Macaca mulatta: one gene and its partner. The protein of the gene in region 1 interacts with the protein of each later gene in a pairwise test. Links are inferred from orthologs where the notes say so. Each region holds a gene or a part of one and is shown on either strand. Other genes may lie near its edges. The genes, in order: CASK and TBR1.

What was found.
Region 2: the proteins of CASK (region 1) and TBR1 interact in a two-hybrid assay, tested with the Homo sapiens proteins (2 studies listed by BioGRID and IntAct). The link is inferred for Macaca mulatta from reciprocal best matches to the Homo sapiens genes CASK and TBR1.

The regions. Positions count from the first base shown.
Region 1 is NC_133426.1:41,434,598-41,437,585, forward strand, and holds the end of CASK (peripheral plasma membrane protein CASK), read right to left. Parts: intron 1,288-2,988; coding exon 1,111-1,287; 3' UTR 576-1,110; downstream 1-575. UniProt on the Homo sapiens protein: Multidomain scaffolding Mg(2+)-independent protein kinase that catalyzes the phosphotransfer from ATP to proteins such as NRXN1, and plays a role in synaptic transmembrane protein anchoring and ion channel trafficking.
Region 2 is NC_133417.1:66,229,721-66,234,069, reverse strand, and holds the start of TBR1 (T-box brain protein 1), read right to left. Parts: upstream 2,979-4,349; 5' UTR 2,865-2,978; coding exon 2,173-2,864; intron 1,598-2,172; coding exon 1,443-1,597; intron 1,071-1,442; coding exon 949-1,070; intron 386-948; coding exon 227-385; intron 1-226. UniProt on the Homo sapiens protein: Transcriptional repressor involved in multiple aspects of cortical development, including neuronal migration, laminar and areal identity, and axonal projection.

The DNA of each region.
Region 1 (2,988 bases):
CTTTTGGAATATTTCAGTTTATAGCAAATGCCTAAACTGGTTTCTTCATTGCACAGTATTTTCTCTTAAAATGGGTGCTTTAAAACAATTACATACAGATTAAAAATCCTCATTTCTTTGCTTAATTAAAACGTTAATACTCTTAGACAACACAGATCTGAAATGGTGAAACCAGCAATTCCCCCCCACCTTACAACAAATTAAATTGAGACAAAATTACAAACACATTTCACTACATGATTATTATTAATAAAAATCAGTTTCTTTTTTTTTTTTTATAAAGTTGCCCAAAATGCAAGGGATGTGCATAGGTTTACAACTTAGTCATAATAGCATTTTATTCTTATTCCCCTGGGTGTGCCCCATGAACGGAATGTAGAATGTACTTTGCTGTAGATTACAGATTGTTTTGTCCAACACAGACACACCGACAGCATAAACGCTCGCGACTGTCCACATGCATTAAGAGTCAAGACCCAACTTCAAATCTCTAAAAGGTTTACAGGGTGCTTCAAAGAGACAGTATCACATTATCTGGATGTTACATAAAGGACTTAAAAAAAAATACTATTCTAAAAAAAAAAAAAAAAAAGAGAAAAAAGGCCTTTAAAAATTTATGACTGTTTTGTAATCACTACACTAATTATTTCAAATAAATAAAGGAAAGAAAGATATTCCAATCCATAAAATCAGACTCTAAAAAGAATGTAGTGTTCCACCCCCAGTCAAGGTAACAGAATCATTGTTTATTATTATTAAAATAGATTATAGAAAGCAGCATCTATTTTGTGCAGTTTTTAGGGGCCTTGGAAATAAAAAGCTATGATTTCCAAAAATATAACATTCCAAAGGATTGAATAATACATACATTTAAAGATACATTTTATTAAAGTTTAGGAGAACTGATTAAAAAAGATACTGTCTCTTTAAATTAGTGTGTAATTGTTTTTCTCCTCCTATCTATTCGGACATGACAATAATTATAAATGTAGGTCACACTACAACTAGGTAGTCTCTAGGGACCATGACCTGCTGACACAAGGCCGATAACAAAGAGGCTTTTCCACGTATGAGGTGCTCCCAGTTATGCTCAGATATCTGGGGAGAGGCCTAATAGACCCAGGAGACAGGGACCCACTGTGGGGCTGTGCACACGAGCTCAACAGCTTCCTCCAGATGTCTGATTGTCTCATCAATTTCATTGTTGATAATTGTGAGATCGAAGTAGTGTGCATATGTTCTCTGTAAGATGTCAGACTCCTTCTGCAGACGCTGAAGAGATTCATCCTAAATGGTGATGAGATGGAGGTAGGGGTGGGCATGAGAGGAGGAAAAGCAAACAGAAGAGAGAAATCAGTTGGATTCATTTTCTTTTCACATTTTTGTTCATCCCAGTGTCAGAAACAGTCAAGGCCAGACCCTGACATGCCGTATTCCAGCATGAGGCCAAGTCCGCTCCATGACAGAGGAGACAGTGATTGCTCAACATGCAACAGAGGGTCCATGACAAAGCAGACGAACCAGAGAAAACAGACACTCTTCAGGAAACATGCCACCCCCACTCAGGCCTAGCTATGCCTGTCCCCAGAGTCAGGCTTGGCAGGGCCATGCCAGGTATGGGTTAGAGTGGCTATGGTGGCCCAAACAGGCCCACAGGAAGCCCCCGCCCTAGCCTCAAGCCACTCTCCCAATTGGGAGAGGGAGATTGTGGCAAGGCCCGAGCTCTTTGCCCCCCTCCCCTTGGTCCTCCACACTCACTGGAGCCAGGCCTCAGGGCCCAGCTGGGTTTGCACCAGCAAGTCCCTGCCCTTGGATGACAAATTAAGTTGTATTTTTTCCTCTTGTACTTAAAGGTGCCACCGTTCCAGGAATTCAATGACATATAATGGCCCTCACTCAATAGCAGCTGATGCCAGAGGCAAAAGCTCTTTGAGTGTTACAAATAATGGCCGGAATAAGGCTGTTTCCCCAACAAACAGCACCTGGCATCTGATGAATCCCCCCAAAGTGGTCTGCATTAGAAATGGCTGGACAAATGTCACTGTTCACAGGTCCTCGTATCTCTTATGAAAAAAACCAAAGGAAGAGAAGCTGCTGAACTCTAGAGAGGTTTGCTGCAACAAAGGATGTTCCCTAAGCTGCAGCTTGCCACAGATTTTAAGAACTCTCGCAAGAGGGATCCAACAGGAGGAGGGAGTTTAGGTCCCAGCTTTGTCACGCAAGTGTAGCTTCCGCTACAGAGTGGCAGTTCTTTCAAGATAGGGGTCTCTTAAGAGCCACCAGAAAGAAGTCTGCCTCTATATCTTCATGAGTCAAATTTGTCATGCTGAACTCCCAAAGGGCAAGTTCAACCTTGACACTAGGGAACTTTGTGAGTCAAATTAACCCTACCTGCCAAACACTAGGTGGGTGAGCTCTTGGGCTGAGTCTCAAATATACATAGAGATAATGAAATACCTCTTTATTTGATGAGTGGCTCTGTCTCCAGCTATAAACTTGTCTTGTGTGCCCTGTAATTGCTGTGCCCCAGCATTAGGCATAGTGCCTTACACATAGTAAGTGCTTAATAAATGCTGTCAAAAGAACAAGCACTTGTCTGACTAGTGCCAGTCATTATAGGGTTTTACAAGTATTAAATCTAAAATCAAGAGACTGAGCAATTCTTCCCAGAAATGGGGGCCCCCCAGGTGACAGAAAAAGATCTCCAGAGAAAATAAAAGATGCAGTATCTTCAAGGACCTAGGAGCCGTAGTGCCCAGTACTGGCTTAGGGCCCCTCCCCTCCTCTTCTCTAAGGCCCCTCTGTTATTGGCAAGAGACCCTTCCTGGTGAGGCTGCTGGGAGGTCCAGGCAAGCCTCAGCTCTCTGGGTACAGCTCTCAAGAAAGGGGACTAGAAGTAAGATAAAGAGACTTGCTTGATTCTGTCCTGGCCCTGCAGTGGGCATGCACAGACACCACAGCAGATGGGAACGCAATCTTTTCTCTCAG
Region 2 (4,349 bases), on another chromosome or scaffold:
TAACCCGCGACGAAAACAAATAGAAAGCATTTTCCCACCGGCTTGGTGTTTAGGAAAGGTGCCGTGGGCAGGCCCCTAGCCCTAGGCCTTAAAACGCACAGCGGAGCCAGCTGTTGCTGATGTTAGCGCTGCTAGTACCCTAGACCTGCATGGCGGGAGGATGTGAGAGGGTAGGAGAGAGATGTCTGTGCCGCCCGCCTCGCGCCCAGCCCCTAGGTCTCCTTACATCCGTGTTCTGGTAGGCGGTGACGGCGATGAACTGAGTCTCAGGGAAAGTGAATGTCTGCACGCGGCCGGGCTGGCTGGTGTCCTCCGTGCCGTCCTCGTTCACTTCCACCACATGCAGGCGGGGCTGGTACTTGTGCAAGGACTGTAAAACCACCATCTGTCCGGCGGAAAGAAAGGGGAGCGCCGGGTGGCGTGTTAACGCGATCGCTGTGCGCGTGGCTGTGTGCGCCCCGCTGCGCGCCCGGACTGGCGGAGGCAGCCTGCAGCCAGCCTCCCAGGCTCACTGACCGCGGGACTCGCCTGGCTGGCGGCTGACTGGCTGGGGCAGACCGGCCTTCGCACCTCTGGGAGCGAAGATAAGCCGGGGCACCGGAGAAAAGGGGGAAGCCGACCGCCCGATCCTCAGGGCCCTTCTCCTAGTCCTCCTGTAAGGAGGAACAAAGATTTCCACAACCTGCAGATCTTGTGGGGTTTCTTCTCAAAATCAATCAGTATTAGTACTTGGGAAGGTCGGGCACTCCAAAATTGGGCCGACGGGGGTGTTGTCAATGAGAACAACTTCATAAATTTAACATAAATTTGGAGGGTGGAAATCCAATTTTTAAGTCTTTTTAATGAAGCAAAGAAACGTGTATCCAGTTCCATATGCTGCTTTGCACTGACGAACTGGATGTCAGGGAGGAAGGGGTGAGAGAGAACACGAGCGCTTGAGCCACTGACCTGCCCATTGTTATTTGAAGCTCCTTTGTTGTTCGTAAGTTTTAATTTTCCAAAAGAGATTTCTTGGCGCATCCAGTGAGCCCCAGTGTTGGGGGAATCCGGATGCATATAGACCCGATTTCCTAGAGAAAGAAATACGTTGTTTACATATGCCCCCGGCACTGCCCAGTCCCAGCTCCTCACCACGTAGGACACACACACACACACACACACACACACACACACACACACACACACCTTACTCCACCGTGAAGCCCATTAGCTGGGGCTTTTTTAGGCCGTTCTTTCTTCCTATTAACTGGGGGTGATTAAAATAGCTTTTGCATAATCCTCCCCCTTCTCGCAGCTCAGTCTGTCCCCCTGTCCCCCTCGTTTCCTTTTAGAAGTCATTGGCCGATCGTTTTAAAAGTCGCTCGAGCCAGTCCACAAAGGCTTTAATTAATCATTCTCACCTAAATAAGTGTCAAGAAAATGTGTTAATTGGAAGGACTTGCCTTGCACATTGGTGTCCGCTTTGCCGCAAGGAACCCATTTGCCTCCTTGAAACCTCCAGTGATTGGGATCCGCCAAAATCACATCCACAAAAATATTGTAATGAGCCGTGGGATCGAGACCAGAAATGTTAAAACTTAAAAAAGGAAACATGCGCCTATTTAAATTAAGGGGTGGGGGGAGAAAACAAGGAAAAAAGAAACATAAATGTTAAAGATTAAATGCAAGAAGCGGGGCGCCAGATAGCAAAGCAAAACTTGTTCTTGCAGCAGATAGGGACGAATATTTGATGGGTTAGAAAAAGGGTGGTGGGAGAAGAAAAGAAGTGCAACCCAAATCAGGGAGAGCGGCGGGTGAGCTGGAGTGGGAAGGCGGCAGGTATCACTGCCCAGGTGGAGAGAGAGGTTGGCGACCTGCGTCTCCACCTGTCCGTGCATGCCAGTGTTGATGCGTCCCTCCCATCGCCCAGCCGCTGGCCGGGGCTCTTCCTTTTTCTTGCCTTCCTCTGGCCACTGACTGGCTCTCCAACCACGTACCTAGAACGGGGTGCCCCCCACCAACATCCCCGTGGCGGTTATCCCTTCCACTTTCCCCCTTTCCAAAACCAGCCAACTCTAGGGCGCCTTCCACTCCGCTACCGACCCCAAATCGTCGCTGCCGCGGCAGTCACAACCTAGGTGCACTTGTCCCCGGCTGCGCCTGGAGCAGCGGCAGCCAAAAATGTAGTATTACCTTCCCTGTTTGGTGATGATCATCTCCGTTTGGTGCCGGTGAAATTTCAGCCAAAGAGGCCTGTTGCACAGGTACACCTGTGCTTTGCCGGGCACCAGCCCCGGCTGGGTGGAGGAGAACTGGTAGAACGGAGCTCCTTGGTAGGAGTGGCCGTACTGCTGTGGGTAGGGGTAGCCGGCCGTGGGGTATCCCTGCGGCGAGGAGTTGGACAGGAGGCTGTTGTAGGCTCCGTTGGTGATGACCGGGTGGTGGGCCATGTAGCGGCTGGGGCTGCCGATGGAGAAGGCGGGGTGCGCCGGTCCGTGCTGGCCGGGGTACGGGAACATGGCACTGGGAGCAGTGGCCGCAGACTGTGGCTGGCTGGACTGAGAGAGGAGGTAGCGATCTGCAGCAGAGCCATCGAAACTGTGACGAAGCTCAGAGACCCCGTCCAAGACAGGAGAGAGTTTACTTCTCTGGACGTCCCCTGGTGAGTCCTTGGAGTCAGGAAAATTGTCTGTATCTGACTGATTCGTCATCCCCCTGGTAATTTTTTTCAAAGGTGAACTTCTCTCCAGGTTGTCAGTGGTCGAGATAATGGGATGATCGTGCAAGACAAGCTCGGATCCGCCTGAATGTGGGTAGCTGCTGCTCACATTGAGAAATTTCTTGGAGAGCATGATAGAAGGAGAAAGGCAGTGCTCCAGCTGCATAGCTCTAGAACCTGAACACTCGCCCTCCCGTCCCTGGTTTTTAAAGTCCTATTTATCATAAACTAGAAATCCACAGACCCCCTCACTAGACAGAAAGCACTTCAACCAGCAAATGCTTCTCAAAGGTTTGATTTACTTTTTTTTTCCCTGGGAGAAGAGATTGGCCAATTGACACTATGCAGCAATCAGAAAAGGCTCACTTTTGATCTTGCTGCTTGTGCTGCCGATGAAACGGCTCCTGCCATTGGTTAACTGCTGACAGTAATTTAATTAGATAGACATTAATTAGGATAATCACCTGGCTCCTGGTAGCGACGATCATGGCAAATTGAAGGGGATGATTTTATTGTTGGCTTGGGGGGTGGGGAATGTGTGTTGGTTTACGTGAGCACTGTTGTGTCACCTTTAAGCTTTGTGACCACTGCTTTAGGAAGATTCAAAGATGTGCAATTTACTAAACATTTCCTACCTTCCCCCCCTTCCCCCATTTAGAGCGGAGGGGCGGAGGAGGGAATTCGACGATGCTAGGAGACTTTTCGGATCTGAATGAGCCAAATATTCAGTTGAATGTAACGATTTCAAGTGCAAAGTATACAAAGCGCGAGCCGGTGGCCTCTTCTCGCCCTGTAAAAGTTCCAGAGTCTGTCTTTTCCAGCTAATACAAAAGCACACAACACCTGAGCTGGTGCTTTGTGAGCAGGTCCTACGTGTCCTCGGCGCCCCCACCCCCACCTTTTAAACTGCAAACATAAATAAATAAATCCCTGCTGCTGAGAGCCACAGCGACAAGCAGAAGGGGGGGAGAAGAGGGGGCGAAAAGCAGCAACTCACCCACCAATCCACCCACCTCAGGAAGGTTCGGTTTCTTGTTTGAGCACAGAAACAGTGACAATCTATGATCTCCTTTTTAAGTTTTGAAATAATCATAAGCTGTCGGGCTAAAATGCCTTAATGTATTTGCAGTGATGTTTACCAGGTCTTTACTAAATATTTTATCAGCGAACTTGGTTGCAGATTATCTGAAGAGCATCTAACTGGGGGTAGGCGCCATGCATCCTTCTCGTCCCTCTGTATATCCTTCTCTCTGAGGTACTGGCTTGGCGACAGGTTCAAAAGCTTCGCCAGGAAAAGAGAGGGCCGAGTCCCCGTGCAAATGGGCTCGTCAGAAGCGCTGATCTGGGGAGACAGAGTGGAAGTGGTGTCAACACAGTAATCGCTACTGAAAACGTGTGTGTGTGTGTGTGTGTGTGTGTGTGTGTGTGTGTGTGTGTGTGTGTTTAATGTTTATATAATCTGGAGGGGAGAAAAAGCATCCATGCCAGTAATTTTAAAAGGAAAAAGAATCTAAAGAGGAATAGAAAAAAACCAATTTAAAAGGATGTTGGCACAAATAAATAGCACGAGGCCCAAAGAGACCCCGAGGTGTAGGAAGGAGGTCTCTCAGCATCCGCTCTACAGAGGAGCCCAGCCCTCGGCCTGAGCCAG